Rhinolophus ferrumequinum: one gene and its partners. The protein of the gene in region 3 purifies or fractionates together with the protein of the main gene of each other region. This does not show direct contact. Links are inferred from orthologs where the notes say so. Each region holds a gene or a part of one and is shown on either strand. Other genes may lie near its edges. The genes, in order: PPFIA3, CCT4, PPP2CA and CEP43.

What was found.
Region 1: the proteins of PPP2CA (region 3) and PPFIA3 purify together in Homo sapiens (affinity purification with mass spectrometry; 4 studies listed by BioGRID and IntAct, with this or other methods). This does not show direct contact. The link is inferred for Rhinolophus ferrumequinum from reciprocal best matches to the Homo sapiens genes PPP2CA and PPFIA3.
Region 2: the proteins of PPP2CA (region 3) and CCT4 purify together in Homo sapiens (affinity purification with mass spectrometry; 4 studies listed by BioGRID and IntAct, with this or other methods). This does not show direct contact. The link is inferred for Rhinolophus ferrumequinum from reciprocal best matches to the Homo sapiens genes PPP2CA and CCT4.
Region 4: the proteins of PPP2CA (region 3) and CEP43 purify together in Homo sapiens (affinity purification with mass spectrometry; 3 studies listed by BioGRID and IntAct, with this or other methods). This does not show direct contact. The link is inferred for Rhinolophus ferrumequinum from reciprocal best matches to the Homo sapiens genes PPP2CA and CEP43.

The regions. Positions count from the first base shown.
Region 1 is NC_046298.1:44,416,048-44,423,732, forward strand, and holds the start of PPFIA3 (liprin-alpha-3), read left to right. Parts: upstream 1-4,649; 5' UTR 4,650-4,682; coding exon 4,683-4,922; intron 4,923-5,179; coding exon 5,180-5,281; intron 5,282-5,668; coding exon 5,669-5,833; intron 5,834-6,197; coding exon 6,198-6,272; intron 6,273-6,782; coding exon 6,783-6,857; intron 6,858-7,176; coding exon 7,177-7,398; intron 7,399-7,685. UniProt on the Homo sapiens protein: May regulate the disassembly of focal adhesions. May localize receptor-like tyrosine phosphatases type 2A at specific sites on the plasma membrane, possibly regulating their interaction with the extracellular environment and their association with substrates.
Region 2 is NC_046296.1:27,349,869-27,358,008, forward strand, and holds the start of CCT4 (T-complex protein 1 subunit delta), read left to right. Parts: upstream 1-4,749; 5' UTR 4,750-4,904; coding exon 4,905-5,031; intron 5,032-8,140. UniProt on the Homo sapiens protein: Component of the chaperonin-containing T-complex (TRiC), a molecular chaperone complex that assists the folding of actin, tubulin and other proteins upon ATP hydrolysis.
Region 3 is NC_046307.1:10,228,642-10,236,151, forward strand, and holds the start of PPP2CA (serine/threonine-protein phosphatase 2A catalytic subunit alpha isoform), read right to left. Parts: upstream 3,148-7,510; 5' UTR 2,688-3,147; coding exon 2,586-2,687; intron 1-2,585. UniProt on the Homo sapiens protein: Catalytic subunit of protein phosphatase 2A (PP2A), a serine/threonine phosphatase involved in the regulation of a wide variety of enzymes, signal transduction pathways, and cellular events.
Region 4 is NW_022680354.1:1,061,512-1,069,427, forward strand, and holds the start of CEP43 (centrosomal protein 43), read left to right. Parts: upstream 1-4,908; 5' UTR 4,909-5,013; coding exon 5,014-5,115; intron 5,116-5,753; coding exon 5,754-5,807; intron 5,808-7,916. UniProt on the Homo sapiens protein: Required for anchoring microtubules to the centrosomes. Required for ciliation.

The DNA of each region.
Region 1 (7,685 bases), on a different chromosome or scaffold from region 3:
CTAGCTCCAGGTGACATCATCCCCCTGCCGGGCTCCGCCTCCCGCCCCAGCCGCCTCACGCTGCTCGCCTATTGGCCGACACGTCTTAAGCCCCTCCTCCCGCTCTCCGCCCGCGCTACCCCTCCCGGCCCGTGCGGAGGCGGGGTTTACCGCCGGCCGGCACCGACGCTGCCTCCCATTGGCCACTAAGAGCCGTCTGTCAGTCTCCTTTTAAAGGGGCCACGACGGCCGGGGAGCTGTGGGGGGGAGGGAGGAGGAAATTTTTTTGGGGGGGAAGGTGGGATTTGGGGGCGCTGGTGGGCACCCCTGGATCTGGCGGCTGCGGCCTCGTGGGGGAAGGCTGAACGGTGACAGGGGTAGGGGGCTGTTTTAGGGGGTAGAGGGCTGTGAGACCGTGAAGGGGAGGGGGTCCCCAGCGCCCAAGCCGGAGCAAGAGACGCGGAGCCCGCGCGAGCGGCGGAGACAGGGCTCCGGAGCTACAGATCCGGGCCCCGGCCGCCGCCAGGGGCCCCGCCCGGTCCCCCCACCCCACCCCACGTCCCTCCTGCAGCCCAGCTCCGCCCGCAGCCGCCGCGGACCAGGCAGGTAAGAGCCCGGCCCGGCCTGCCTGGCAGCGCCCACCCCGGGGACCCCTCGCCGAGTTTTCCCCACATCTCCGAGATCCTAGGTTCCCTTCTTCATACCGGGGGACCTCAGAGCCCAGATTTCACAGCCCAACCCCAGAGAGTCAGGCGTGCCCATCCCGGCTCTCAGAGTCCCCAGCCGAACCCTAGAATCCCAGGCGTACTGCCTCCTTGCGCTTCTTCCAGGGCCCAGGAGCCTGGATTTCAATTCAACCCTGGGAACCCCTCTGGACCTAGATCCTCCTCCTCAGCCCAGTCCCGGGAGCTCCAGACACCCGCCGCGGCTGTGTCACACTCCCTCGGCGAGGGCTAGCCGTCCCCCGTCGCGTCCGCATAGTCCCCCATTCGCGCACCCCGTCTGCCCATCTTCAGCCCTCTGGCTTGAGCAGCCGGCCGCGTCCCTCAGTCCAGGCCGGCTCCGCGGCCGCCCTGGACACAGGCCGGCTCTGGAGCTGTCCATGGTCAGAGTACTCGGCAGCCTCGCTTCCCCCACCTCCTGCTGCCGCCACAGGAGAGGGGGCGCCGGCGGCGCGGGGATCCCCCCCGCAGCGCCTTTGACCCGGGGATACCCGGGCCCTCGCCGACCTGAGTGCCTGGGCCTCAGGGTCCCGCTGGCCAGGCTCTCAGCCTCCTCCTCAGCACCCCAGGTTTCCGGGACCCCAGCACCTTCCTGAGGAGTCAGGGCTTCTGAATGTTCCTGCCCCGTCCACCTTAGGGACCTTGGCATCAGGGTATCCAGATTCCCAGCCTTTGCCCCCTTTAGAGTTCAACAGCCCCTGTGCCCCTCAGACAAATATACCCAGCTTCCTAGGACCCCAGCATCTGCCCCGTTAGGGATTCAGGCGCCATGACTCTCTCCCTTTCAGGGACTCAGGATGCAATTCTTAATGCAATTCTTTGGCATCTGCCCGCCCTTCCCCCTGGAGACCTAAATACCTTGTCCCCAGTCCTGAATCCCCTCAGGCACCCAGGCGTTCAGATCTCAGCTTCTGTACTGGCCACCATCCTTTACCGAGGCCATATGCCCCAGCTCTCCTTCCCAACCCCCTGTCCTTTACCTCCACAAGGATTCAGGAGTCCAGGCCCCCAGTTCTGCCCTCCCCCCACCCACGTATCTAGTTCCTCAGCTCTTAATCTTAGGAACCCAGGTCGCCACGGCCTCACAATCCCTCCATCAACTTGACATTTCTGGTGGCCTTGACAAACCCGTTTCATCCCTATTTCATCTCAGCTGCTGGGCTCCCTGGGACTCTATTCTCTCCCCTCAGACCCGGCTTCTTGAGATCTTTCCAGCACCTCATTGCCTTCTGAGGCCCATATCGTGATGTCCCATCCTCTGAGTACACTCTCTCAGGCTTGAGCCAAACATACATGCCTTCCTCAAAATGTATTCTGTGACCTAGGCTCATTCGATGACCTAGAATCTACCCACTGTCTTCCACATTTCTGGTTAAACATTGTCCTTGCAATGCTCCACATTCTGGATTCTTTCTAGATCCTGAAACACTCTCAGTCAACATCTCGGTTCTGTCCTCACCCAAGGCATGTTTGAAGTTCTAGGTTAGATGGTAAATTCTAGGCATGTCTTTCCCCAAATGAATTCAAATATCTAGATAATCCCCCACCAAGCCAAATTCAAATCCTACCATCTTCTCAGATATGTTCCCAAGTTTTAGTACCAGTCCTTGTTTATTCTCTGCTAAATTTTCGTTTTAGGTGTGTTCTAGGTTCCAGCCACATCCTCGGCATTGTTCTAGACTCCATTCTCTTCCCAGAGGCATTCTAAGTTCTAGAATGTGTATCTTCCAAATATGTGCTGTAGTCTTTCTCCAAATTGTGCTATCAGTTCTAGAATACACTTTCCCACTTTAGGTTCCATTCCGTTCTACAGTCTTAAATCTAGAAGATTCCCATTGAAGTGCTCTACCTTACAACTCCCTTCCTCAGGTCTAGACCCTAGGCCCATCCATTCCCACTTTCTCTGCCCATCTTTTCCTTAGGGTGATGTTAGTTCAGAACTTGTCTCCTGGTGGACTGTGTGCTTCCTCCTCCATCTGCCATTTGAGCATTCTAAGCATGCTCTAAGCTCTCTGCTCTTCTGGAGTCTTCAGCCTAGAAATGTCCTCATTTCCAGAATACCCCACCTCGCTTTTGCCAGCTCAGTCCTTATAACAGTAAATTTTCAATTCCCAGCATGCATCTTTCTGCATCTTCCCCCAGGCATGTCTGAGTTCCAGGCAAACTCCTTGATACTTTCTAGGTTTTTCTTCGCCTCCAAGGCATGTTTTGAATTCTAGAGAACATCTTCTGCATTCTGAGTTCTAACATTATCTAGACACATGATTAAACCAAGGATGCAACCTTTGCTATATTCTGTGTTATATTTTCATCCGTAGTAGGTTCTGAGTTCTAGATTGTCTCCTGACTTGGCTCATTGAGCATTTCATTAGGTATGTTCTTAAATATAATTCTGGGGTCACCCAGATGCTCTTTAAGTTATTGATTGTTCTTGGCTGGTTCAATGTTCCAGACCTGGGTTCTAGAATATGCCCTATGTGCAGCTTTTACCCCAAGCACATTGTAAATGTGGAAGCGTATGTCCTTTTTCCACTCTGTACTGTGTCTACATGCCAGTGGCTTTCTAGATTTTTGCCCTGCCTTGTTGTGTTTTGTTTCCTTCTCAGTGAATTTGAAGTTCTAGAGCAGCCTCCCAAAAGAGCCTGTGTTGCATCTCCTGAGTAGGTTCTGGGTTTTAGATACAATGTTGTTGTGGGAACTACAGCTGGCCTGCTCTCTTCTAAACATTTTCCTGAATCTGGCCTCTGAGTGTTAGGATTCAGGTATCTAGATTCCCAAATGCACCTGTTCAAAGACCCAAGGGACACAGCTGCCTCCTCTCCCAGGTCCTGGGGCCCTCAGTCCCCTCCTCTCCTCACAGGAGTCCAAGGCTCCAGTCCCAGGCTCTGGACACAGTCCACACATTGGGTGGGGCTGGGAATTATCTACTCTCAGAACCGGTTATGCTGCTGCCAGAAGGGAGAGACGGAAAGGAGGGAACAGCGTGAAAGCCCCTCCTGCTTTCGGCTGGGCCAGCTGGACCTGTCTGACTTGATGTGTGCAAGGGAGCGGCTCAGGGCACCTCACTTCATCTCTGTCCACAGCTCGTGTATGCAGACTCCTGGGTCCTGGAGTCCTGGACTCCTGGGTTCTGGGACAGGAGAGGTCTGAAGTCTGGGATTTCTAGGTCTACAGTTAGAGGTTGAAAGCCCAGACTCATGTCCCCGGGGGAGGAGGGAGTGTGGTCTCGAGACTCCTGGGATTGGGAAGGAGGGGGCTGGAGGCTCAGACTCCTGAGTCTGGGAGAAGAAGGGGACTCCAGGACCTAGAATTCTGTGACCCGAGGAAGGAGGAACTGGATCCTCCTGGACACCTGGGTCATAGGAGATGGCTAAAATGCCCTGATCCGACCACGCTTCCCTCCACCCCCTGCAAGTGGAGTGGGTCTTTAGATTCTTCTGGAACTGAGGTCCAGATGAGAAATGGAAGGAGGGAGGAGTTGGGCTGGAGAGCAGGTAACCGCGTGCCAGTGACCTAATTCCGTAATCCCAGTCCTGTGTCCTCCTGTAGTCATGGTTCTCCGCTGGGGCTCAGTTTTCTCATTCATGCAGTGGGTTGATTCTCAGCAGGGCCAAAACAGGTAGAGACTAATTTTTCCACATTCACTCAGGCAATGCCTGGATCATCCGGTTTCGGTTTCTTGGACTAGGCTGGGCCTAGATTTGTTGCCAGTGCCTGATGGAGTCTGACCTCGGTTTCCCCAAATGCTCTCACACAGGTAGCCAGGCCTAGTTTCCTGAAAGCAAAGGGTTTCAGTTTATCCTGTGCCATGATCAGAATGGACAGGCCTTAGTTTCGTCTGCGCAATGCCAGGGTGGACCTGCTTCAGTTTCCTCTAAGTAATATCACAGTGGTCGTGCCGCATTTTCTCTGCCTGTCCCTTGACAAGGCCGGTCTCTGTTCCCTGCCCCTTCCCCGCACCTGCAGGCCAGCACCGCCGCCATGATGTGCGAGGTGATGCCCACCATCAGCGAGGATGGCCGGCGGGGCTCTGCGCTGGGCCCGGACGAAACGGGCGGCGAGCTGGAGCGCCTCATGGTCACGATGCTCACGGAGCGCGAGCGCCTGCTGGAGACGCTGCGCGAGGCGCAGGATGGGCTGGCTACAGCGCAGCTGCGGCTGCGCGAGCTGGGCCACGAGAAGGACTCGCTGCAGCGCCAGCTCAGCATCGCGCTGCCCCAGGTCTGGGCGGGGCCGGGGCCGGGGCGGGGCCTGCGGCAGGCGGGGTCTCGACAAGAAGGCCGTTCGGAGGGGCGGGACTTGGCGCGGAAGGGCGGAGTCGGGGAGGCTGGCTTTGCCGATGACGGGCGGGGTCTGAGCTGCTAGAGGGGGCGGGGTTTAGTCGAGAGGGCGGGGCCTTCAAACTCCCAGTCCTGGGCAGTGAGGGAGATAGGGGGAGGATTGATCTGATTGTCCCTATCCTGTTCACATCTGGACAGGAGTTTGCGGCTCTGACGAAGGAGCTGAATTTATGTCGGGAGCAGCTGCTGGAGCGGGAGGAAGAGATTGCAGAGCTGAAAGCGGAGAGGAACAACACGAGGGTGAGGGGTGTTGGGGTCGGGGCCTAAGTGGGGTGGGCGGGGCCTCAGGTGATGCAGCCTGATCCATCTTTTTTCCGCATCTCACCTTCTTGTCTTCTCCTCCTTGTCCCCACTTCTTGGTTGATCCCTTCTGGTCTCCTCCTTCCTTCATGTCCTCTTCCCTCTCTCCTCCATAACGGTCTCTTTTCCTATACCACTCTACTCCTTCCTTGACCCCACCGGTACCTCTGATATCCCTGTTTTCTTGACCTGTTTCGCTCTTTACCCCTTTGCTTGGCTCCCCCTCTTTCTCCATGTGTCCGCCCCTCCTGTCGGAACCACCTTTTTCTTCTACCCTGCTTCTCTTCCCTTGCCTCTTTTCTTTGGCCTGGTGCCCTATCTCTGTAGCTTCTCTTGGAACACCTGGAGTGTCTGGTGTCCAGGCACGAGAGGTCACTACGCATGACCGTGGTGAAACGCCAAGCCCAGTCCCCTGGCGGGGTCTCTTCCGAGGTGGAGGTGCTCAAGGCTCTAAAGTCCCTCTTCGAGCACCACAAGGCCCTGGATGAGAAGGTATGAGAATGGAAGAGCCTGGGTGAAGAATGGAAACCCGTGGGTTGTTGGTGCTGTCCTGAATTGGAGAGAGTCTGGCTGTGATTGGTTGGGGATGTCCTAAGTGGGAAGAATGTTGCCTGTGATTGACTGGGACAGGCTATGCAGACTGGGACTTTACTGGTTGATAATGGAAAAATTAACTAGGATGGGGGCTACAAGTGGGTGGGGCAGCTTTGGTAGCGGGTTGGGGCTGCACATCCATTATGGATAGAAGAATCCTAACGTTGCACTATCAGGCCCTTCCAAGAGTGTTCTGCATCATTGTCAGCTGTCCTAGATTGGATTTGATCTCCATCTCATTCCTGTTCTGCCCCATTCCCAGGTCCGGGAGCGGCTGCGGATGGCACTGGAGCGGGTGGCAGTGCTAGAGGAGGAGTTGGAGCTGAGCAACCAGGAGGTGGGACATGGCCAAGAAAGGGAGGGAGGGAGGGTCTAAGGAGTTCCCAATGAGGTGGAGCTGATTTGGGGTTCCAGAATCTGTTGGAGGCAGAACTAGAGCAAAAGGCCAATAGAGTTGGACTATGAAGAGAACCAGTGGGGTCCCTAAGGAGGAACTCACTGGGCAGGGCCAAGAGGAGAACTGCCCATTGAAAGTGAGTTTAAAGTGAGAACCATGGGCCGGGGATAACAGAAAGAACCCACTCCGAAGGAAATGGTTGGATGGGGAAAGTCAGGATAGAAGAGGACATCTCCACCAGGAGGCTAAGTGCAAGAGTAAGGCTGGGCACGCTTCCTGTTAGGCAGGTAAGGAGAGATATAAGGAGAGCACAGGGTCTAAGGGTAGACTGTAGGGTGGGGGTGGCCCCAGCAGGACTGGAAGTGTCTATGACCTCTCCTTAGAGAGCTGGTGCCAATGGGAAATAGAACTAATTTTCCTTTTGTCCTGATATCCCTTTTTCATTCCCAGACTCTGAGCCTTCGAGAGCAGCTGTCTAGACGCCGGTCAGGGCTGGAGGAGCCTGGCAAGGATGGGGACGGACAGGTAAGAAGTGAAAATCCTTTGTTCCCCTTGCTCTTCATTGATCCCCATCCTTGTGACCTCCACTCAGCCCTCTAACTTTGTGATGGTCATTTTAATTTTGATATTATCCTCACAGACCTTAGAATATCTGAACTCCTAAGACCTTACTGGCCTTTGACCTTTGATTCAGGTCCCTGATTAACTTCTGTGACCTCCATGACCCTTACTGATCTGTGATTCACTCTCCACCCCCATCAACTTTCTCCTTGCATTCCCTCTATACCTCTGTGTTTACCCCTTCTGTGTTCTGTCCCTTTCTTTCCCACTGTCTCCACTCCAGACCCTTGCCAATGGCCTGGGTCCTGGCGGGGATTCTAACCGGCGCACAGCGGAGCTGGAGGAGGCCCTGGAGCGGCAGCGTGCAGAGGTGTGCCAGCTGCGGGAGCGCCTGGCGGTGTTGTGCCGCCAGATGAGCCAGCTGGAGGAGGAGCTGGGCACCGCCCACCGGGAGCTGGGTAAGGCGGAGGAAGCTAACGCCAAGCTCCAGCGCGACCTCAAGGAGGTGAGGCCAGGGCCCCTAGTGGGCTGCTGTCGGTACCCCTCTGCCCCCATCCTCCCCTGCCCCTTTGGCCAAAGTCACAGAGCTCATGAATGGTGGAAGCTGCATTTAGTCCACAAACTATAGATTCTTCTCTCCTCTCTGAGCCTGTTTCCTCACCTGTAAAATGGGACTTGTGATCTTTGTCAGAGGGTGGCATGTGGCACATACATGATAGGCATTCATAAGTGATCATAGTTATGTTATCATTGAGAAATTCTCTTGTGCCTCTAAATTGAATTCCTTTGTCT
Region 2 (8,140 bases), on a different chromosome or scaffold from region 3:
GATGTAACACACTTCTTTCCCTAAAGGAATTAATTTTCTAAAAGGCAAATTCAAAGATACTTTTATGGCTCCAAAAGCGAATCTGAGATAAACTATGCATTGTGTTCAGTGTGCCCACAGTAGTTGCAGAGAATGGTCGATGTAATGGAAAAATAAAAGGGTTATAAGTGGAAACAGCATTATTAAACACATGACTTCCAAATTACCCACCAGAAAGGCTGTATTCATTTATTTCCATGAAATCTTATTAACACTGACTGGTATTATTCTTTATAATCTTTGCCATCTGATACATGAGAAACATTATCTTATTGTTTTAATTTGTATTTCTTACATTTTAAGAGTGAATCCTTTTATATGTATATATTTATTGACTGCTTGTATTTTTTACCTATTTTCTTGACAATTTTCTACAGGGCTTTCAGTCACTTCAGCGATTTCTAAGAGCTCTTTATACATTTGGAATATTGTTTGTCACCTATATTGCAATATTTTCCTTGGGTTTATATAGTTGAATCTATCAACCTGCATAGAAAAAGTCTGAAAGGTTATTCACCAACATGGTTATAGAGTATGCCTCTGAGTAATTGAGGATGGTTTATATTTTCTTCTTTCTGCTTACCTGATTTTTCTAAATATCTACAGTGTACATGTAATACTATTGTAATAAAAAGTTAGGTAATGAAAAGATAAGATAGTTATCCTAAAATCAAACTTCTTTTAATGAAAAGCTTTAAAGGAACATATGTGTTCTACATGACTGAAAAGAGCTAGGCACCTTACATAGTGTTTCCTAAACGTTTTGATAACATTTTCAGAATCTGATAGAAGCTTTCAGAATCTGATTGAAGCTTCAGTTACTTTCCCCTCAAAACACAAATATACACCAAATGTACCCTGCAATATCTAGGCATGAATTTACCCTTCTGAAGTCTTTCTATAAACCTCCTAGTTTTCCATTTGCCTAAGAACTCCCTCTCAGCATTTGAGCAGCTCTAATTAATCCTCAACAGAAATAGATTACTCTTTTAAAAGCAGGGGAGCAATCTGTACATCACTACCACTGTTTAACTCCTATTCCAATGTATGTAATACATGCACATATCACTGCCTGCCTGAGCCTACAGCAAGTTCCAAAACACGGAGGTGTTCAATGAAAGAAAATCATCCTGTGCCACCAGGGGCTGCTACTGCCAATGCAAATGTTCAAGGTTGGTACCAGCCGCATTTTTACAATGCCTTTGAAACAAGGGGCTCAAAGCACAAAGCTTTACTTTATTAAATCTCAAAACACAACCTGTTTCACAGACAACAAACCTGGGCCTAGGCCTATTGAAAGGATTGCTTAAGCAAAGAAAACATCCTGAAGCCTTGGCTCAAGAAGAAACTACAAGCACCCAATAGCAGCCCTCCCGGTAAACAGGTTTCCTTTTCATTCTTGCCAAATAGGTTTCCATTCTCAAGTTCCATTAAACAACTGGTACCTTCCCCGATTCAACTACCCTTTCATGGCTCACAAGCTATTTGTTCCCAGGCCAGCAATAGGTATTTTTATAAGGTTCCCCATCTCTGAAAGCACTAAAACTTAAAATGTGTACCGAAATAATTTGCAAACACAGGCGCCCCAAAGTTTTGCAATACATTCTCCCTGTTCCCTATTTCTACTCCACCTTTTCCAATTCTACTTTAAGTACCATTCACTCTCCACTCAAGCAGCTCCTTAACAGATATTAGTCGGGAGTTTTGGGCCATTCTGCTAGGCTCCAGGGGATACAGAAATGAATATGACACTGTGCCCTAAAATCTTACATTCTGGTAAGGGAAAATTATATGCAAATGAAAGGTAGCAGAAAATGCCACCCTAAAATATGCCAATTTGGCATAAGGATTATTTTGAGCTGAAGGCAACTGAGAAGAAACAAATACAAGAAAAGCTCCAGGCCCTGCTTGCCCTAAAAGCAGGACATAAATTTTCAAAATGTGTCCCTCTTCCTCTGTCTACCACAGAAAAAAGTTAATCCCAGGAGACAACATTAAACCCTTATTAATGAAAAAGATACCAATTTAAAACTGCATAACAAACCTTACTCTTGTTTACCTTGCTTTTTCTGGTTATCTCCCCATAACTAGCCTTTCTGACACCTATCTTCCATCCTTGGCTGAAGATGGTACATAAATTGGAGTTCTAAATCACTGTTTTGAGTTACTCCTTTTTCCCTGGGTATCTCACATGTATACATGGGGTATACATGTTAATAAATTTGTTTGTTTTTCTCATTAATCAGTCTTTTGTTATAGGGGGGTCCCAGACAAGAACTCAAAAGGGTAGAGGGAAAATTCTTTTTTCCTCCTCTATATAAACAAATTATTAAAATACAATGAACTAAGATTGTTACTACTTAGTACTTAGAAATAACTAATATCAGATTTGGTGGTGGAAGAAAAACATTAACTCAGCTTCAGTAAGTCAAGGAGAAGCCTAATGGTGACGTGTTGGAAGAGGTAATTTGAGAGGACATGACCATTGGTTACCCTGCAAGCTGGACCCAGGCAATCAGAGGCTCCTCAGCCCCTTCCCCTGTCCTTAGCAAGTATGTCCTTGCCCACCATTCCCACAGTAGGAGCAGATCCAAGGACACAGCCATGAGATTAAGATGTTGAGAACACCTGGGTGATATACATGACTGAGCCCAGTTAAGGCTTCTATATAAACTTTAAGATTCTGGTGGGCAGGTGCAAAGATCTACTCATCTTGTGAGGACCCAAGACAAGCGCAAAAATAAGTTTCCTTGCTTACTAAAACTGCCACCTACCTATCTGGAGTGGTTTGCCTCTTTCTTCAGTCTCTCTCTGCTCTGATTGTGGGAAGAGGGGTGCGGTGCTGGTTTCAGATTTCACTCAGGAAGCTCCTCAGATTGCAAACCAACAAACAGCTGGACATGTTGCAGGGGAAACAGCATGTCCCTACGTATAAAGGCATAAAACAAGAGTGGTGAGACCCATAGTATAAGGACGGGGTTCAGGACACACTACCCTGTGGCATGTTGAATATTTGAAGAAATATGAGAAACAGAACTTGAGAAACGATAGGTACAAGAACACTGCCACGCCCCTCTTTTCACCTGAAGCAGGTAAGACCCTCATGTGAAGTGTCCTCCCAGAGCATTCCTGTCTCCAAAGACGGTGGGAGGCCCAGAGGAATCTAAATTGAACAAGCCTTGCTGTTTCCCCAGTTTATTACCTTCAGCTCACAGCCTTTTGTCCACATTTTCCCACAACTTTCCACTCTTCATCAAATATAGTAAAAAAAAAATTCAGATTTAATCACTTTTTCAGGTGTTCATTTCCTTATTAAGGTTCAAATGGCACATAGAACTTCTATTAAACAAATCAGTATGCTTTCTTCTTGTTAATAATGTCTTTTGTTACAGAGCCCCAGCCAAGAACCTAGAAGGATAAAAGGAAAAAGATATTTTCCTGCCCTGCAGTAGCAAGAATGGAAATAGGAGCCTAGGGTTATAAACCTGAAAAGATTAACAGGGCTTGGGTCATACATAGAGAGGGAGAGTTTACACATAATGCAAATTTTCATATTTGGTCGTTGAGGAGTTACTGAAGGGTTTTAAGCAGGGGAGTAAGAACATCAGATTTGAGTTTCTAAGATTCCTTTGTGGTAGCAGTGTGCCAAAGGAACTGGAGGAGCAGGGGAGGCCAAAGTTAGACTGTCACAGTAATCAAATGACGTGGGTCTGATCTAAGGCTATGGTATCTAAAGGACAGAGAATATGAGACGGATTCTTGATATAAAGGAGGTAAAATTAGAAGGCTTTGGATGACAAATACATGGTGATGGAAGGAGAACTGACTCTGGGTGGTGAACACACAATGGGATTTATAGATGATGTAATACAGAATTGTACACCTGAAATCTATGTAATTTTACTAACAATTATCACCCCAATAAATTTAAAAAAAAAAGGCTTTGCATGAGGGAAGAGAGGGAAGAACAAAAGGAATCAAAGACCTTCAGTTGTCTTCTCTACTATGAAAAAGGTAAGGGCACCTATTTCATATTTTTGTGAGGATTAAATGAGCTAAAACGTGTCAAGGGTTTAGCACTGCGCTGAACTGAATGATCATTATTAAAATACTTAGGCTCTCTAAAAGCCAGTGACTACGTCATTTAGAATAAAATAGTGTTAAGGCGAGGGCATTGTACTAACTAGTGAGGCAGTCCTGATTCGGCAGGCAATCATAGCTCTAAAACTTTTAAAATTCTCTACTATTTAACGAGGGTGTATTCAAACTCGGTATCAATCAACAGGAAACAACCCCAACACTTAAAGCAAAGAAACCACCCATCCCAAATCTCTCTCCTGATTCCCTTGCAAAATGAATAAAACTGAGTATGATACAGGTACATGAGGACGGGCAACAGCCAGCGGTTTAGCCCCACGCGGTCGGGAGGAACACGCAGCGTACCACACCCCGCAATCACGTTTAGTTCGAGTTAACGCAAGGGACCTCACAGCCGAGGACCAGGAAGTGGGAGATGTGGGTGTCCCGAAACCCGCCTTTAAAATAGCGGGTTGTCCGATCTGCCTCGGAAGAGTCCGCCCCACCCCGGTGCCGACCCTGGACCCCGAGCGCCCGGGGCCACCATCCCTTGCGAACCCCGAGTTCCCCGGCTCAGTCCCCTTACCCGGCGCGCGGCGGGCAGCCTGCTACGTCATTCCGGCACCGCGCCGCAAGGCAGGCCCCCTTCTCCGCCTCCTCCGCGCGGAGCCGGCGCTGCTTTCTGGAAGGTTCGTGAAATCGTCGGTCCCGAACCGTTACTCCGAAGCCAGGCGGAATCCGCATCCATCCGTCCTCCCGGAGCCCACGCAGACCCAGCCCAACTTGCCATGCCCGAGAACGTGGCACCTCGCGGCGGGGCGCCCGCCGGGGCTGCTGGCGGCCGCAGCAGAAGCGCCTATCAGGACCGCGATAAGCCGGCCCAGATCCGCTTCAGCAACATCTCTGCCGCCAAAGGTATCGCTCCCCGGGTCTGACCCGCGACCCTGCGGGGTCGAGCTGTGCGCTCTCACCCTGTTACTGGGTTGGCGTGGCTCATTTTTTATTCCGTCAGATGATCGTCTCTTGTCTGCCCTTCAGTAGAAGCATCTCTGTGGAGGGAACCTTATTGTTTTCTGCCGATAATTCCTGGCCCCGAGTATGGAGGCCTGTGGACTTACTCCGGGTCTTAAACGCTCAGAATTTTTCACCCTCGCTCACTCATCACACATCAGCAGCCAAGGCCCGCATGCCGCGGTCCCTTGGGTTCTGACAGTTTAGAGCTGTCGCTTATCTTGCTGGTTCCACTGGTAAAACGTTTGCACAAGACTTTACAGTTTTCTTGGTCTTATAAAAATATCACTAAAATAAGCCAAGCACGGCACAACTATTGAAACAAATTGGGTATACTCTTCATGCTTAAGTTGGGGAGGGACCCTCTGTTTTCGGTTGTGGGGAACAGACCCGTCTTGTTTAAGAGTAATGGTGGGACGATACATTTTATGCCCGCTGCATGTGCAACCAAACACAAGCAAATCAAGAAACATGGACAGTTTGCTGTTTTGGTTTTTTTTTTGTAGAACACTTTGGCATTGGTGGAAATCAAGACCCCGAGTTTCATTCTCTGTTACCATTGCTTACTGGCCTGTGACCATTAACTTCTAACCAAGGTGTCCTTACCTGTACTATAAATCGAGGAGGAAAACGTTTGTTATTTTTTTTGAGAGTTGTGAGGATTAAGAGAAATCGAGTTGAGTTAGAGTCTGGAAGGAAAAGGCTTCGAGATCTTGTCTCTGATGTGTATTGAGTACGGTGAGTATTTCATTTGGGTTAGAGAGTAAGGTGCATGAAGAAGTGACAGATGAGATTGGAAGGGTAAGGTGGGTCCAATCTTGTAGGGCCTGGTGTCCAGGACAGGATTTGGCATAACTCTCACAGCTACAGATCATTCTTCAGTAGAATGAGGTAATAGCTAATTTGCAGGGTTTCTGTGATGATTAAATAAAAAAGCATATGAAAAGCTGCATATATAAAATACAGCCTTACAAACATTTGAGATTATCAGCCCAAGTGACTGAAGGTATGATGATGCCAAAGAAATACATATACAGCAGGTCCTCAAATAATGTCTTTGTTCAATGTGGTTTCTTTATATTGTTGATAAGATGCCCTAGGAACTTAACACTTGTTTTTCTCAATTAGCCTGTGGTAAAATTGGTTTTATGTCTCTTGGCCAGAGTTCCAGGAGCCTATCAATGACATTAAGTCAGGACTTACTGTACACTGGAGAAATGACGGTGGAATAAAAGAGAATAGTTTCTAATTTGGGCCTAATGAGTTGGAGAGATCAGAATGACCAGATGGGTAGATTTAGGAGTCATTTGCAAGTTCAGGAGAGAACATATCCGCTAGTAAAGATTTGGTAGATGGTTATCTAGGAAACATAGTGGAAGCTTAGATATATCACATTAGAAATAAGATGTTAGATAAATTCTGGAGGGCCAAAATAGCTATATAATATGGTAGATTTTGGTAGCTATATAATACGGTAGATTTTCAACAAACAAGGAAGGTACAGAATGGAAGGTTTACTTTGGTAACCTTTGAAACAGCAGTGAACAGAGAGTTGAAACTGGAACAAGGGAGGTATGCATGTAGGAAGAAGAGGCCACCTAAATTACTTATAATCCTGACCTTTTTAAGTAAGCAGAGCTCATAGAGCAAAGGGACACAACTAGTCTTTCCAAGTTAGACAAAACCCTACAAACTGATGGAGAAAAACTGCTGCCATGTGCATAGTTAGTTTAATTTGGGGAACCAGTTTTTTATTTGGGTGTTACCAGAAAAGTTAATAGTACCATTAATTGATGATGTGAAAAACCACACACACAAAATAGTAGTAGTTCTAGTACTGTTCAGTATGAATCGTTCAACAGACAATATACTATGTGCCACTTTCAGAGATGTAAGCAGTCTAAAATCTTTTGTTTTGGATGGTGTATCTAGAGTTTACATATAGATGAATATAAGGGCGTTTTTAAAGTATATTAGTGTGCTTGTAGAATCATGGCCATGGGGGTCCACTAAAATTGCCTGCAAGGGTAATAATATTGATTGGGTAATTAGGAACAGCCCCTAACTGTGAAATAAGTAGGAAACAATTTTTAAGTTTTACCAAATATTTTCTCTTTAGCTCTGTAAGATTATATATCATCGACCACACAATATGGGGAAAATCATTATGCTAGTTTGTGGAGCACACAAAAACGATTAGGGCACAATCTCACCCCTGTGTATATGGAATGAGATGGTTATGTGAGAAAGGGGAAGATTTAATTATTTGTCCTGGACTTGTCAAAGAAAAGGGGTCAAGTACTGTTCATCAATTCTAGTTTCTCTTAAAAAGTAGTAAGTGGACCATTGAAACATTTAGTAGTCAGTGGACTAATGAAAATGAAGTAGAAACATTTTCATGGTCAGATAATAAGAATAAGTAACTTTGGAATGGTAGACTATATCCAGAGATGTTTCATAACATACTGATAAATGACTGAAAGCTATGATTTTAGTTTTGTTTTTTTTTTTTGTTAACATTTGGGTTTTTTATTTTTTGCAGGTGAGGATCAAAGGTTGTTTCTTACTGTGGGCGATCTACATATCAGCTTCACATTAGTGAACAAAAGTCTTTGCCCTAAGAAATTATACTCTATAGTTAGGGAGACAGAGTAAACAAGTTAATTATATAGTAAGAGGGCTAGCCTGTCCTATTGTTGCTTGTCTTATTTTAAAGAATGGAGAAAAGACTAGAGTCCACAATCAGAGCTAGACTGTATCATTTTGATATTTAAAGGAAAATTAGATAAATCCTCAAGAGTTTATTCTGCCAGAGGCAGAGCATGAATGCTGTGTATAGTGACTTTAACCAAAACGTGAAATATGTGTCATACAATTAAAGGAGTAAATTATTCTGTTTCCAGTAGATTGTTATTAAACAATGAATTTTCTTTAGTGTACACAGTGAATGGTTCTACACCTTCTCTTAGTAAGGACAAAATGACCATTTGAGAAGAGAAATACTTTGTGCTTT
Region 3 (7,510 bases):
AATTGTTGATGAACCACCACAATAGTGGCCTCTGCATTTTTTAATCACAATGACCTCTTATGCTTCAATCATTACTGTTTAAATATTTCATTCAGATCAGGCATTTTCAGGTATACAGAAGGAAGGTTTTAAAATCTTCCTTCTTTCTCATAATCAAAGAAATTATCAATTATTACCAAATAGCTATTTCCAACCAGTACCTTTTCTTTTAAAAAAGAACTATTGTACTAATGAAAAAAAAATTTCCCATCGAGATTTTCAAAATATGTAGCTTTCACCAGATGTGTTACTGACCATACAAATATTAACAGTGAAAAGAGAACTTTTGTTTTACTAGAAAGACTTGTAGAAAAGATAATTTCAAGTCATGTATGCTAACTCATCCCACATACCTAAAAAACTGCCTTCAAATTAATTTAGTTTGGGAGATTAATACCAAAAGTTGAAATATTCATGAGTTAAAAAAAGTATGAAGGCTGTGTGATATCCCCCCCAAAAGGATCCATTTCTTGGAAACCTAACTTCCAATCTTACTTCCATCTTTTTGGCTCTAAAAACTGAAATCCAGACACGCTGGATTAACAATGGAGATCCAAGAATAAATTGATTAATCTCACTACATCTTAATTTTTCAAAGACGTGGAAAACAATGAACATTTTTACCAGATGCACCAAGCTTCAGCCAATCCAAATTACCATGCAATATTATCTTCTATAGTCTCCAATACAAACCCTCTACACTACTGTGGTCCATCTACTGGTCTCCAACTAGATTCAGGCTCCTTGAGAAAATTATTCTGTGCTGCTTTCCATTCCCCTCATAAGAGTAAGCAACCTTGGATTTCAATACAAACACAAAGTACAAATTTAAAATGGAATTGTATAATTTCAGATTAGAAGAGACCCTGGAACAGATTTCTGTTTTAACTCTATTATTATAGACAAGAAAATGTGGACCAAGTGAAGTGGTTGCTCCAAGGTCAATTACTGTGGCAGAATTCTAGTGTACAGGTGGAACTTGCAGTCAGTCTTCCAATTACATCATTACTTCTCTTCCAATATTTTCTACACAAATGACTAGTCACCTACCCAACGAATGACTCAAAGTCTTCATGTAAAGCACCTAAGACCTAATAATATACACTGAATAATTTTTTAAAGCCTATTTCTGAACCTTTAAAATAAACACTATCCTCATTTGACACAGTAGAATTAAGGGTCAAGAAGCACAAGACTCAACATATTGCTACCATTACAACGAAGCTTTAATAGATAATGTGCCACCTCATCAACTAGGCGAGTTTTGTTCAGGCTTGGGATAAATAAATGTGAGTTTGAGTCACATTGCAATCTACAGTATAGTTTCCGAAAAAGCCTGTTTTAGGAGCATATACACCAAACCCATGAACCTAATTTTCACATCTAACCACAAACGAGTCAGCATAGTTGCTAATAACTCTCTTTACTAATACAAAATTCTAATACGATATCCCACAATCCTGTACTAAAAATTAAATGCTTCCAAGTTAATTTTGAAAACGGAAATTAAAATGGACTTATTAAATGGACTACAAGATTCCATTTTCAACACGGGAGATAAATTATTTAAACACTAAGCACAAAGTCTCGGATACAGGAAAGGCTCAATAGACAGCTATTATTATTAATACTATTACTACTTAAAGCCACAAAAATACAAACGAGTAACTTTTCCAAGGAAGAGCCAGGATACAAAATTTGCTGGTTTTGTTGCATTTAAAAAATAAATGGCAAAATGCCAAGCTTAGAGAAGGGTTTCACACTACCCAACTTGAGTCAGCATATAAATCAGAGACTAAACTGACACTTGATTTCCAATCCCCAAACTCCTTAGGCAGTATGTATGACTCACCAAATTCTCCATTTCTTCCAACTATGAAAAATAAGTTCTACTCCTCCCTATATTTTACCATGACCTTCGTAGACATTAGGTTAGAGGTTTATTTTTAAATTCTTAAGAAACACGCTTTAAAAAAAGTCTCTGGAAAAGACTGCTCAGTGTGTTTAGCCCCAACCACCCAGGATAGTACTAATGCTGTATGACCTTTAGACAGGTCCTGGGATCTGGCCTACAAGCTTGCTTGCCTTTTGGGGGATCCTCTAGATAGTTTTGGAGCTGAAAATTCGTCCCGAACACAAGTAAAAGGCCTCTTAGCCACCTCACAGTAGAGTCTCAAGCCCCATTCCCAGGCCGTAGAACCCAAGTCCTCTTACTCGGCTCTCAAAACCGTCCCCAACCCTGACACACAGGGTCTCAGTTCCCACAGCACCCCGCCCGACACCTAGGCCGGGAGGCTCCGAAGCCCCGGAGTTGGGTGAACGGCGCCATTTTAGGCGGCAGTGGCGGCGACATCCAATCCCTGCGCGGGAGGCAGGGGGCGCCGGGTCGCCCGGGAATCGCCGCGGGGCCGCACCAAGCCGGACGCAGGTCTGGGAGGCTCAGGGGGCCCGGGCCGGCGGCCTCCGCCATGTTGCACCCTTCCCACGGCCGCCTCTTTCCTGGCGGGCTCAACCGCGGCCGCTCCCGCAGCCGAAGTGCAGCTCACCTTCTCGCAGAGGCTCTTGACCTGGGACTCGGAGAGCTGCTTGCACTCGTTCAGCTGCTCGATCCACTGGTCCAGCTCCTTGGTGAACACCTTCTCGTCCATGATGCCACCCGCCCGAACCGGCTGCCGCTCCGCGCTACTCCCGCGCCGCCGCCCGCACACGGGCCACACGCACACGCCGCCGCCGGTTCCCGGGGTACTTGTGTGGCTACTGGAGGTTGCTCGGCGTTAGCGCTAGCTTGTTTGCTCGCCCCGCAGTGCTCAGCCACCGGCCGCTACCCTCCTCCGCTCGCTCTAGCACCGGAGCTCAGCTCTCTGTAATGGCGGCCGCCGGCGTGGTGACGTCACGCCCGGCGTCAGGAGGCGGCGGGGTGCGGAGGGGTAGCAGAGAGACCGAACGAGCTGCGCAACTGCAGAGCCAACGCTAGTCGGCCGCCAGACCGGAGTCGGGGCGGGACCAGGGCCCAAGACGCAGGCGCAATGGAGCCGGCTAGTAACAGGCACCTTCGCTTTTAGGGCGTGGTCCTCCAGAAGGGTGAGGTCCGGGGGAAGGGAGACCGAGTCCCAGCAAGCGCGGGGCTCGCAGCCTGGAACTGGGCTAATCCCAGAGCACGGTGTCCTACGCGGTGTGGGCGCGAACCTGGCGCAGGCGCAGTCCTGGCGCAGGCGCAGTCCAGACGGGAGCAGAACTCCCAGCTGCCAGAGACTTTTTCCCAAAGGTGCTGCCTTGCGGCTCTTCACCCGGCGACGGCGACCAGTTCACGGAAATGAGAATTGCGACCCCACAATTCCTCCATGGTGCAACAGCGCTGAAATTGCATAGGATTCTGGCATCTGTGACGGCGGGAAAGGGCGCCGAGTGGTAGCCCAGTTGGATGCCACCTCCGTCTCTGGGTGGCACCTTGTAATTAGGTCACTAGTAGGCGGAGGAGGGTGTACCTCCCGGGGGGAGTGCCACACGTGCATCTGACTCCCGCGGCACACACCCGTCTCGGGCCTAGGTGTCTCGTCGGGCGCGATGGCAGGGCCGAGGCTTGGGCTTCTCTCTCGACCTTGGACCTCACCTACTTTCCACACGCCCTTTGCAGCCTCGCCCGTTGTCGCCTTCCGCCACAGGTGTGCGCCCCTCCTCAGAGTCCGGTTTCTCCTGGGAATGAGAGACACTCTCCCCGTCTCTAGACACACACACACACACACACACACACACACACACACACAACACAACTGCACGCCCTAGTCTGCTTTCTAGAGGAAGGCGATAAGGAGATATCTGGACGCATAGGTCCTGACGGCAAGTGGTGGTGTTAGAAACAGCTACGATCTGTGCTTTAAAGTATTCTTGGATACTTTGCGGTCCGACTTTGGTCTGGCTATGGATCTCCTTGAGGTTTGCCATATGTTTTCACATTCCATTGTTCCTGCACTCACAGAAATACCAGGGGTGCTTAAAAAGTGTATTCATGACTTGTATTTATCTTTTGTTATTGGTATATATTATTTATAATTTTAATAGTTTTTTTCTTTCTTAAAATGTGTATACTTTTTTTTGGCACCCTCTATATTTGGCTCCGTAAAGGGCTAGCTATATGCTAGATCCCACGCCTAAGAGAGGAGTCCATGCCCTGGTGGAACTTGTATTCTCCCAACAATACTCTTAAAATGGTCTGCAGATAGATAGAAGAGAGATTACGGTGTCCACAGGATCTGAGCGAAGCTTAGCAAAGGACATTTAACCTTACAGCCCAAGGCAAGCGTTGACCCTGGTGTCCTGTCTTCCAGACTTCCTATCCCCAATAGCAGTGGACCCTGTTCCACCCAAGTGCTCAATGATGTCCTGGAGGAGGGAGCTCACTGCAGCTCTGAAGGAGAAGGCCCTAGAAGCCCAGACCAACCAATGGAGGGACTGAAAATTTTCCGTCAGCAAAGACGACCTGCCTGGCCAGGCTGACTGGCTTAGCCTTCCCAGGCTGCAAATTGCAATTCTGCTTTCCTTTTGTACCTCCCAGGAGTATGTATGCCCAAGAAAGTACCTTAGATCTACTCTCCAAAGGCTTATAATATAGTTAATTTACTAGACTGGGAAGTGTTCTGTTCGCTGAAAATCTGGCCACGTTTTGTAGTTAGTGTCCCTAAATAATAGAGGAGTAAGAGTTAATACCATGTAGAATGAATGAGGAAAAAAGTCATCACTCGGTGCCCACGATTATAAAGCCAGGTCCAGTGGGCTATCTTATTCTTCAGGTTGTCCTGTACCTTTGTGAGAACTGGTTCTGTCTCATAGGGCAAGAAGCAGACAGGCACTCAGAAAAGAGAAAGGACTTGCCCAAAGTAGTCATCAGGATTTAAATCTTCATATTCTCAAGTGCAAGATCTCAGCCTCGCTCACACAAGGATTGAAATATGGAATAGGGTCAATATGATTTCCTTTACCTGAGTTCTTTTATCTACAAAGGTGGAGGTGATGTGACTTTGGTATATTAAAAACTATTGAGCACCTTCTATGTACTAAGATTGTAATGAGTGGGTTTTTCCAAGGTGCTGTGAGCTCCTTGCTGCTCGCATTAATGTAGGTATTATTTATTTTCTCTTGATGCCGATTACTTGGTTTACTACCATCACAAAATGGAGAGAAGACATAATTATATATACTTAAAACATCCTGCCAAATAATCAGATGCCATGACTTCTTAAGCAATGAATTCTAGGAAGCCTTACTAGCATTCAAGCAGTGAAGTAAAGCATACATGATTATAAACAACATAGAACTAAATCAGAATGTCTTTTCCTTTAGAAGAAATCTAGAATGTTTTCTGATTCTGTGGAACTCAAAACAGCTAATGGATCTGAAAATTCAGTGTGATTAGTCTGGTCTTGACTAATTGGACCTGACCGTCTCAATTCTAGAGCTGAGGAATACTTGGAACAAAAAGTTAAACCAAAAAAAATTTTCCTTTTAATTTCTTGGCAAAAACCAGAGAGTGAATGAAGCAACTATGCTTTGAGAAAGAGTCTTTGCTCAGATGGCAAGTTCAGTATACAGCGAGTCGCCTATGATGTTCAAACATAGCTCTAAATAAAAATCATCTGATGGGGTGGGGTGGGAAGAAGATAAACTTGAGCAAATAACTTTATAATAGGCGCTCTAAGCCAACAGATTAAAATTAACATTAAACATGATGAAGGAATGCGATGTATCTTATCAGCCATTCTCTCTCGGTCTTCTGTTAGGTTTGTTTTGTTCCTTCCAGTTCCCTGAATTCTAAACTTACTGAGACAGAAGGGAGAACTGTGTAGGTAAGAAGCCGCTCTGGAATCAGATCGACCTGGTTTGAATTCTGGTTCTGCAACTGCCTCAGTGTGTGAAGTTTGGCAAGTTACCTAACTTTTCTGAGTCTCAGTTTTCTCATCTATAAAGTGGGGATAATTGTAACAGCCAAATAATAGGATTCTTCTGAGAATTCAATGAAGTTATAAATGTAAAACACCATATGGTATATAATAAATGTCCAGTAGGTATTAGGTAATATTCTTTTTATTTCTAAGTGGTCTCTGATTCTAAATATCCTAATGCCAGTTAGAGCCCCTTGATGCCTGCCATGAAATACGTAGTGGTTTTTGGAAACAGAAAGTAACGGTATCAAAAACATCATATAGACACAAAGCCATTGGGTGAAGTAGAAATGAGGGAGGAAATTCAAACAAAGAGAAGTAGAGGTAGATAAAAAAGAAAACCCCTCTCTTCCCTTGCCATCAAGCAAACATTTAGAAGGCTTATTATGTAGAGAGAAAATCACTGAGGAATAAATGCAAGAATTAATACAGCTCGTCGGTTTTATGCTCCTGTCAGCTCAGAATCTGTATCTGAAAGGGTGCCATATCTGCTAACATGCTCTTCGCATCTAGGCCTTCTATGCCTCAGACGTCCCAAAATAAAGACCTGAGCAATCAACATTTTAGTGGCTTGGCCCATGAGAAACCTGCCCTAATCTGGCCAACTAGACCTGCTTAACTACCAGAAGATTTCTGCACTCAGGATACACGATGGTGTTTGCAACTCATTGATATCTATCCCTGTTGCTCTCTGTTGGGATTTTCAGAAAAATTCAACTTTTTTGTCCTTTCACCTGGAATTAGAACTTTATAAGTGTGGCCAAAATTTTGTGGCCAGGAACTTGCCATAGACATACTACAGCCCTTTCCCCTAGCGACTGCAGTTTAAAGAAAAAGAGAAATGACCACGTCCCCTGCTAATGTCCTTGACATCCAGATACCATTCTCAGTTACAGAGGAAATATTTTTCTCTACTACAGGAAAAAAAACACAAAACTCTCTGGAATGGAAGGCAAAGTTCATCATTCCAGAAGGCTAGGTAAACCTTAAAAATACTGTCACCAACTTTGCACCTATCCAAAATCTTACCATAGAAGTATATTTAGTGACAATATTATTCACAGTATATTATTAAGTGAAAAAAAGTCCCTTGTCAAACAGCATGTGTGCTATAATCCTAATTTTATTAAATATGTATTATAAATATATGTTTATGAGAGGTATTAAACGTCAGTTGCTTCTGGCGAGTGGGATTGGTTTTTTATTTTCTTTTTAGTTACTTGATTCATCTGTAATGAAAACATACTGCTTTTATAATCGTGAAAAGAAAATCTTCAGAATGTCTGAGTAAACGTGACCAAGTACCTCTTAAGGGAATCACAGGCCCAAAGCACACGCAGCCAACAGTTCTGTTCAGTGTTCCACTACTCTCTGGAATATTACGCAAGGGCCCCACTTTCTTGTGAAAAGAAGTTTCACCTCTCCTGTGGCCTTCTCACATGGCCTCCTCACAAAGCATTTCAATAGAGCCTATTCTTCTGCCTTCCCTCTCCCTGAAAGCTCTTCCCCTCAGCTCAGCTGCCAGCCCCCACATT
Region 4 (7,916 bases), on a different chromosome or scaffold from region 3:
CTTTCAGCAGTTAATGAAAGACAATGAAGGGGGCCCCGGCCATTTGTCATGGTGCACGCTGTCCCCTGGTGGCAATGAATGTGTCTTTGGGAAGGTAGAATCACCTTTCCTCTCTCGTTTAATTAAATTACATTCTGTAACTACTGGGAGGAAAACATATGGTGGAAAGAGTATGTGTTGGGAACTGAATAGACTTGGTGGTTAATCTTAGCTGCCAGCTGTGTCACTGGATAAGCTACCTAACTTTTCTGAGCATTAGTTGCAACAAAATAACAAGTAACTCAAAAAAAAAAACATCAAGGAGAGAATGAAATGAGGTTGTACATACAAAACAACTACTAACAGTTAATACTTATTGTATGTTCTGTGCTTCAGACATTCAGTTCTACCTACGTATAGCAATCATTCTATCATTCTAACTACCTGCACGGGGAGATTTTTACCCCGTTTACAAATGGGAAACTGGGGCACAGAGAGATTAAGGAACTTGCTACAGTCAACACCACCAGAAGTGAATTTGAACCTGTGTCGTGGGGCTCAAAAGTTCCTTCTGTAACCGCTACACAAAACCTGGTATCAAGTCCTTGTTCAAATGATGAGCTAAGCAATTTCAGTAAGTGTGATAACTATTCCAATGGGAGAGACGCAGGCTTCTTCTCCTTCCCCAGCATGCTGCTGGCTTTTGCACAAACTATAAAACATTTATGGAAACACATAGGCCATTGAGCACCTTAATCATTCTCCACCTCTATGTAAACTATCCCGACCCTGACACACACAGGATGGCTGACCTCAAGAGAGAAAGCATGGATATTCCTAAGTTCACACTGAAAGGCTACCACCGTGGTTCAGTACACCTTTTCTATGTTTGACTGTTAAAGACACAGGGACTGTCTAGGCCAAAAATGTGCGACTGGGAAGTCAAAGGCATTTCCCCTGCTCTGGCCTCCTGCGCTCCCTGTCAGAGTCTGGTTGCAGAGTTGGTCCCTGTAGCACATTTGTAGCTCAGATCCATTCTCTTCTCTGCACCATCGCTGCAGCATAAGTCCAGGTCCTTCCTCTTTTTTTTTTTTTTTAAAGGCAAGTTGTCTTTAATTTTAGGTGTCAATCTGAAATATGCTGAATAAGTATATGTTCACACAAAAGCTTGTATACGAGTTTTCATAGCAGCATTGTTCTTGACAGCCCAAACTAGGAAACAAGGCAAATATCCATCATCTGATGAATAAACAAACAGCGTTGTAATACAGGGTCTCTGGTCCAGCCCTCGGCAGGTGGACAGAGAATATGGTGAGGCCAAAAAGGAACACCCACGGAGCCACAGATAGGGGTCATACCACTATATTCTCAATGGCAGCTGGTAGAGATACAAAAGTAAACATCCGCCAGTACCCCAACAGGGGGTCTTCCTGCACCCCAGTCTCACTGGCAGCCAGGCCCAGGCAAGACACAGGAAGTAGGATCAACAGGATCCGCAATCTGCCATCCGTGCTTGCTAACCCCACTTGCTAGCTGCAATCCGCACTTGCTAGCATAGCCACGGCAGTTGAATCAGTGGCCAATGGCTAACTGGTTACAGCTGATGGCCATCTGATCACAGCTGATGGCCTCTACTACCCGAGCCAGCACCTTTCCACGTGAGGTCGAGGGCCTGGAAACTGCTCTCTGGGACTCTGTCCCCACAGGCGTTCATCCATTCAATGGACTATTACCCAATATTGGTAGTAAAACATTAATCGTTGGTAGGAAATGCAGTAGGGACACAGGCTACAACATGGATGAACCTTGAATACATTAGGCTACGTGAGAGAAGCAGGTCACAAAAGACCACGTTATATGATTCCGTGTATAGAAATTGACCAGATAGGCAAAATTACAGAGACCTCAAGTAGAGTCATGTTTGCCTAGGGCTGCGGAGTGGGGTGCAGAGTGAATGCCAGTGAGTATGGGGTTCCTTTTAGGGGCACGTAACTATCCTACAACTACAATGTGATGATGCTACACATTTCCGTAACTACCAAAATCATTGTACACTTTAAATGGATGAACATATATTTGAATTATTTCTCAATAAAGCTGTGAAAAAAAGAGCATCATGTAGAATAGCTGGGATGAGGAAGTGAATTAAATAACATAAAATCGTCAACTGTGCAGTTGTTCCTTCTTTATAATGTTCTAACATAAAATATGGAGACCAAATTGGTAAAAATAAGAACAAGCTAAATGTGAAGCACATAATTAGTATCACATTTAAGGGCATTTTTTTTCATCGTTTTAACCTTAAACCATCAATTTTGGTGAGATATGAAAATTAATAAGTTAATAGCTGTCTTAACTGCCAAGCCAACCAGTGATGCATTTCCCATTTCTTCCTTCTTAATTTAAGGCTTATTTGGGATATTCTTTAAATGTAATAGTATGTTTTCCTTCAATTATTAAAAATTTTAAGCAACAATATTAAAAGTCCCATGTTTACGACTATATAGATGGCGACATCTGCAGCCTTAAATTCCTCAAGGAAATGGATGTTTTCAGACAGAGCTTTATTAATTTACTTTATTAATTTTATGATAGGAAAAACGCATGTATTTTAGGGCAAATTCCCTCATTATATAAGCCACTCCCCAGGAGTAAAGAGGTACATTAACTCTTTTGATGAAGCAGTAATTGAAATAATTAATACCATAGTGACTTGGAAAGTTATCTTCTAAAGCTGCTAAAAGAAATGAAATAGAGAATTGTAGTTTAGCTGACAGAGGAGCTCTAGTTGCAGACCTAGAAAAAGTCAAATAAGAATCAAGTGTGACTATTTAATAAAGAAAATCCCACGTGTTTCCAATAAAAAAAAGAATCAAGCGTCCCTTCCACCGCCATCACTCCCTCACCCCCGCCCCCACTCACTCACTCCTTGTTCCTTTCACTGAGCCCCACCCTGCCCCCCCCAACCCTCCCTACGAGGTCCTTTTACTCTGGCAGGAGGTTCGCTTTTCATTACTTAGCATGTTTACGCTGCTTACATAACACTTACCTTTTCATTGTTTAGAATATTAGGAAAAGTTCCTCTCTTTCCCGGATTTCAGTATTTCAACTCGTAGGAAATGAGCTGCATCATTTTCTGAGTAACTTTTTGATCTTAGACAAACCTTTCTGAGTCTCAGCTGGCTCATCATATCATCATCTACAATGTTCATGGTTATCATGCAGATAAAGTTTAATGATTTACTGCATGGAGCTTAAATTATGGCTCATTGTAGATGCTAAATGACAGCTGTTCATTGATGGTCCTCTGTATACATACGACCGTACTGAGTAGTAACAGTGTCACAGAAGAAGTATGCTGCAGTCTCCGACTGACTTTTAGGAACTTACATTCCTTTCTTAAAAAAAAAAAATGTAATTTTATTATTTCTTTTATTACATGCATGTGGTAATAGGTTCAAGGAATTTACAGCTATTCCATATGCCAAGAAATTAGTGAGCTCTTTCTCCTTGAAATCTGATGAAATAATAGAATCTGCACAGTAAATTTTCTGTAGAATTCCTGATAAGCGACAGAATCTACACAACAAATTTTCTTTAGCATTCCTGATAGGCGATTAACCTTCCTTTTCGAGTGGAGTCCAGGCCCGTCTTTCTCCCCACTGGGCTCCTGGATTGTTCAACTGTCTCCAGTGTCACTGCATCCAACTCACCCCTCCCCTCTTGCTTCTGGATGCTTCTAAAACCCAAATGAGCTAATGTCACATTCCTTTTCAAACCATGTTTAGCTTGCTATTTCACACCTTCAAGATGAAAGTCAAACTCATAGTATCAGTGGCTAATGCCCTTGCTGATCCATTGACTTCCTGTCTCCAGCCCACTTGCCATCCCTGCACAGAGCACACTGCCCTGTGCCTCTTGGCCTTGGTGCTCTGGGCTGTTAGGCTCTGTCTGCGCAGAATGCCCCTTTCTTTTTCAGGCATCAGTAAACCCCCCACTACGATTGTGTATCTCACGTCAAGTGTCCTGTCCTCCAAAAAGCCATCCCTGTCCCTTGGTCGTGCAGGGTGTTAGGTGGGGGTCTCCTGTCCCGTTCCCCGCACAAGAACGCAGGATGTGGTGAGGCCTAAAAGGAACACCCATGGAGCCATAGATAGGGGTGTCATACCACTATAGTCTCGCTGGTGGCTGGGTTGGAAACACAGGAAGCAGGAGCCACACTATCCGCAATCTGCCATACACTTCTCTGTCAACCAACCAACCCCACTTGCTAACTGCAATCCACGCTTGCTAGCTCAGCCACCACCTTCTTGCCAGCCCCCATTTGCTGCTAGCGTAGCCACTGCAGTTATATTAATGGCCAATTGCTCATTGGTTACAGCTGACGGCCAACCAGGCACAGCTGACGGCCATCCAATCACAGTTGATGGCCATTTACTACCCTAGTGAGCACCTTTCCACGTGAGGCCGAGAGCCTGGAAACTGCACTCCTGGCTCTGTCCCCACAGACCTGCTTTACATGACTAAGTCTGGGATAAGGGGCTTGGTTTGAGTGCCCCAGAAGCAGACCAAGAGACAACAATTGAGTGTAAACAGTTTTTTGGGAGGAGATCCCAAGAAACACCGGTGGGGTAGTGGGGAAACAGGACAAGGCAGGGAAGGAAACGACAAAGGCTGTGCTATCAACTTACTTGTCTGAAACGTAACTTACTTTTAACCAAGTGGCCCCGCCCCCATCCCACTGCCTCACTCCAAGTTCCCGGGTCCCCCCGCCCCCAAGCCAAGGACCCAGGGCCTCGCTCCGCCCCAAACCCCGGCCCCGCCCTACCCGATCCATGCCACAGCCCCGCCCCTGACGCCCCGCCCTAGGCCCCGCCCCCGGCGTCAGGTTGCGCTCCGAGGCCCCGCCCCTGGCGTGAGGGGCTGCGCACCGGCGCCGGGGCGTGGTCTCGTTCGCGTTGCCGCACGCCGCGAGAAATCTGCGGCGGCCGTTGGCCGTTGGCGCGGCTTGGCCGGTTGTCTTGGAGAAGCAAGATGGCGGCGACGGCGGCTGCGGTGGTGGCGGAGGAGGACACCGAGCTGCGGGACCTGCTGGTGCAGACGCTGGAGAACAGCGGGGTCCTGAATCGCATCAAGGTGGGGCGGGAGACCGGGCCGGCAGGGCCTGGCGGAGGGGAGGCCGGCCGCGCCTGCGGGCCGTGGAGCATGTGTGGACGGTTGGCGTCACAAAGGGACGCGGGGTGCGTCAGGCTGGCCTCCCGGGCAGGGTCCGGGCCCGTGGGCGGGGGCGGGCGACCTCGGGGGTCGAGGGTCACTCCCAGGGAGACCCCGGGCCGCGCGGCGCCTGCGGGAGAGGAGGCCGAGCAGCGGCTTGCGGGCGGTTGAGTCGCCCGGCGCTCCTCGAGTCCCGGGCGGTGGCGGGGTTCCCTCCGGGTCGCTGTAACTGGCGGGCTGCCGGCCTGGCGGGGTGTTTCTCGGCGAGTCCAGCTCAGACCTGTCGGGGCTCGTAGGCTGGGCTAATCCGGAGGGTGGCTGCGGAGGGACAAGGCCAAGGGGCGCGGAGAGCTTGGGGCACTGTTCCAACGCCTCTGGGGGCTTTTCTGGCCTCTTTGCACCTGCCCACTAAGCATTGTCTTGCCAGTGTGCGTTTTTGACTTCAGATGGTGTGGGTGGTGCCAGTGGAACTGAACGTCCTATGCTTTTCTTGTCCTGAAAATTGTCTCGAAGCAGTTTCTGTTCCATTACCCCCCAACTCTCCCCCCCTTTTTTTAAAGGCTGAACTCCGAGCAGCTGTGTTTTTGGCACTAGAGGAACAAGAAAAAGTAGAGGTATGAAATCTACGAATTTTAATATGACTATGTTCATTTTTGTGTCGTTTCTACTTAAAATCCATTGTAAAATACTACACGTGGTCGTGGGCACGCAGGGATCATTTTGAACTATTAAGGATTACGTTTCTTTACAATAGAGTGAACATTAACCTTTTTGTGTATATTTCAGAACTTTGGGACAATCTGAGGAAAGTTAAGGAACCACAGTACTCCTGAGGCCAATCTGAATCTTAAGTGTCATAGATCCTCTTGTATTGGGGACATCTGAAACACAAGGTCATGGGAGCTAGTGGAAGAAATGCTTCTATTCTCAGAGTTTACTGCAGGACTCCTCAGAACCTTTCCTATGCATTGTGAATCCCCACCAGCTGGGGGAAACACAGTATGCCGGTTTTCCCCAAACTGTCAAGACCACCTAGTTATTTTAAAATCATGTCATCTTTCTTGCTGTCACAAGTCCAGCCTCCTCTCTGTATTTAAGTGTTTAGTCTTTTCTCCCTACTGCAAGTCTCACCACCACCCTGAGTAAAGGTCCTGGATCCTTGTCCACATACGCACTCCATAATGAAGGTCTTCAGCTTGTTCTGTGACAAATCAGCCTCCTCTCCTGTCACTTCTTCAGACCTAGATGCCTGTGCCTCTCTAACCTCATGAACCTCTTCAGCTCTTGGCTCTTGGGTGTTCATCCAAGCATCAGTCCTCTCTTGGCTGCCGTTCGGCCCTGACTGGTCTGGACCCCATGGTCCAGATCTCCAGAAGCCTGACTGCCTGGCCTTCCCGCTATACTTGGTAAATCTCATTGGTCACTTAATTCAACAAACTAACTCCCTTCTTGTTTGTCACCCAAGCCTGTGGATTGCTGGTGTCACTGAACGGTGGTTGCAACCTGAGCAGGGCCCTGTCAGGCCCAGGCCTCTGCTGTCTGCGTAGCAGCTCCCACTCCAGCCTCACCATAGCCTTCTGCCCGACCCCCTTCTTCATCTTGACAGCGGGTCTTGTCTCTCCCTTGCAGGGAAACAGAAGCCTCAGGCGTCAAGCCCTCACTGTGTGTGTCCTCCAGCTACCCTGCGTCTGCACGCTGCACTTCTTTCCTTCCTGCTTGCTATCGGAGGCTCTTTCTTCACCAAGAATCATCACTTTCTCTGGGTTTGCCGTGCTGGTACTCTCGGCTCCTCCCTCTTTGTTGGCTCTTTTGAGCGTGGAAACAAGTTTATATCTCAAGGAGAAAGCTGTTGCCCTCGTCTCATGTTCTGCTTTTAATACCACTTTTTTCCCCCCACTGTCAAGTTTTGAAAGAATGTGTATGTCTTATACGATTTATATTCCAGGCACCTTTTAATCCATTAACGTCTTATGCTACACCTTAGTACTTTCTTTTGCTGCTGTCAAGAAGAATCCTAAGTGAGTATATGTTCTTACCTATCTTAGTGGCTCTTTGTGGCATTTGACATTCTTAATTCCTTCTTCCTTCCTGAAAATCTTTGAATTTTGGGACTTTTTTCTCTTTCTTTTTCCTTTGTGCATTCCTTGGTTTTTGCAGCATGACCTTTTCCTGGACACCGCACTTGAATTCTTGGTGCAGTATCCACAGTCCCTGTCTGGGTTCTCTGCCTGGGTGACCTTGACCACCTCAGTAACTCAGCCCTGTATCTCTGGGCCTTATCGCCCTCCTGAGCTGCCGACTGTAGGTCACACTGTTTGCCTACGGGGACCGTCACTTATCCAAGTTGGAAATCCGAGAGCCCTTGCTCTTCTTTCCACATGTCTGTCAGTTCTGTACCTGAGGTGTCTGAGGAGGTTCTCTGCTGACCTCCTGGCCTGCGCTTGATCTTTCCAAATCACTTGACCCCTGCCTTCTCTCCTTCACTGGTAGTCCTGACGTCTTTCCTCCACATCGCTCCTAGACTGGCTAGTCCTAACTCACGTTTGATCTTGCCCCTCCGTTTTCTTCAAATATTTCAGTTGACCCAATGTCTTCAAATTTCCTGGACCAGCCTACTGAGGACCTTTGTGATCTTTCCCCTTATCTTTTTTGGGTTTTCTTAAAACTTGATTGAGGTACACTTGACCTACAGTAAACTCAGCATACTTAAAATGTACAATTTG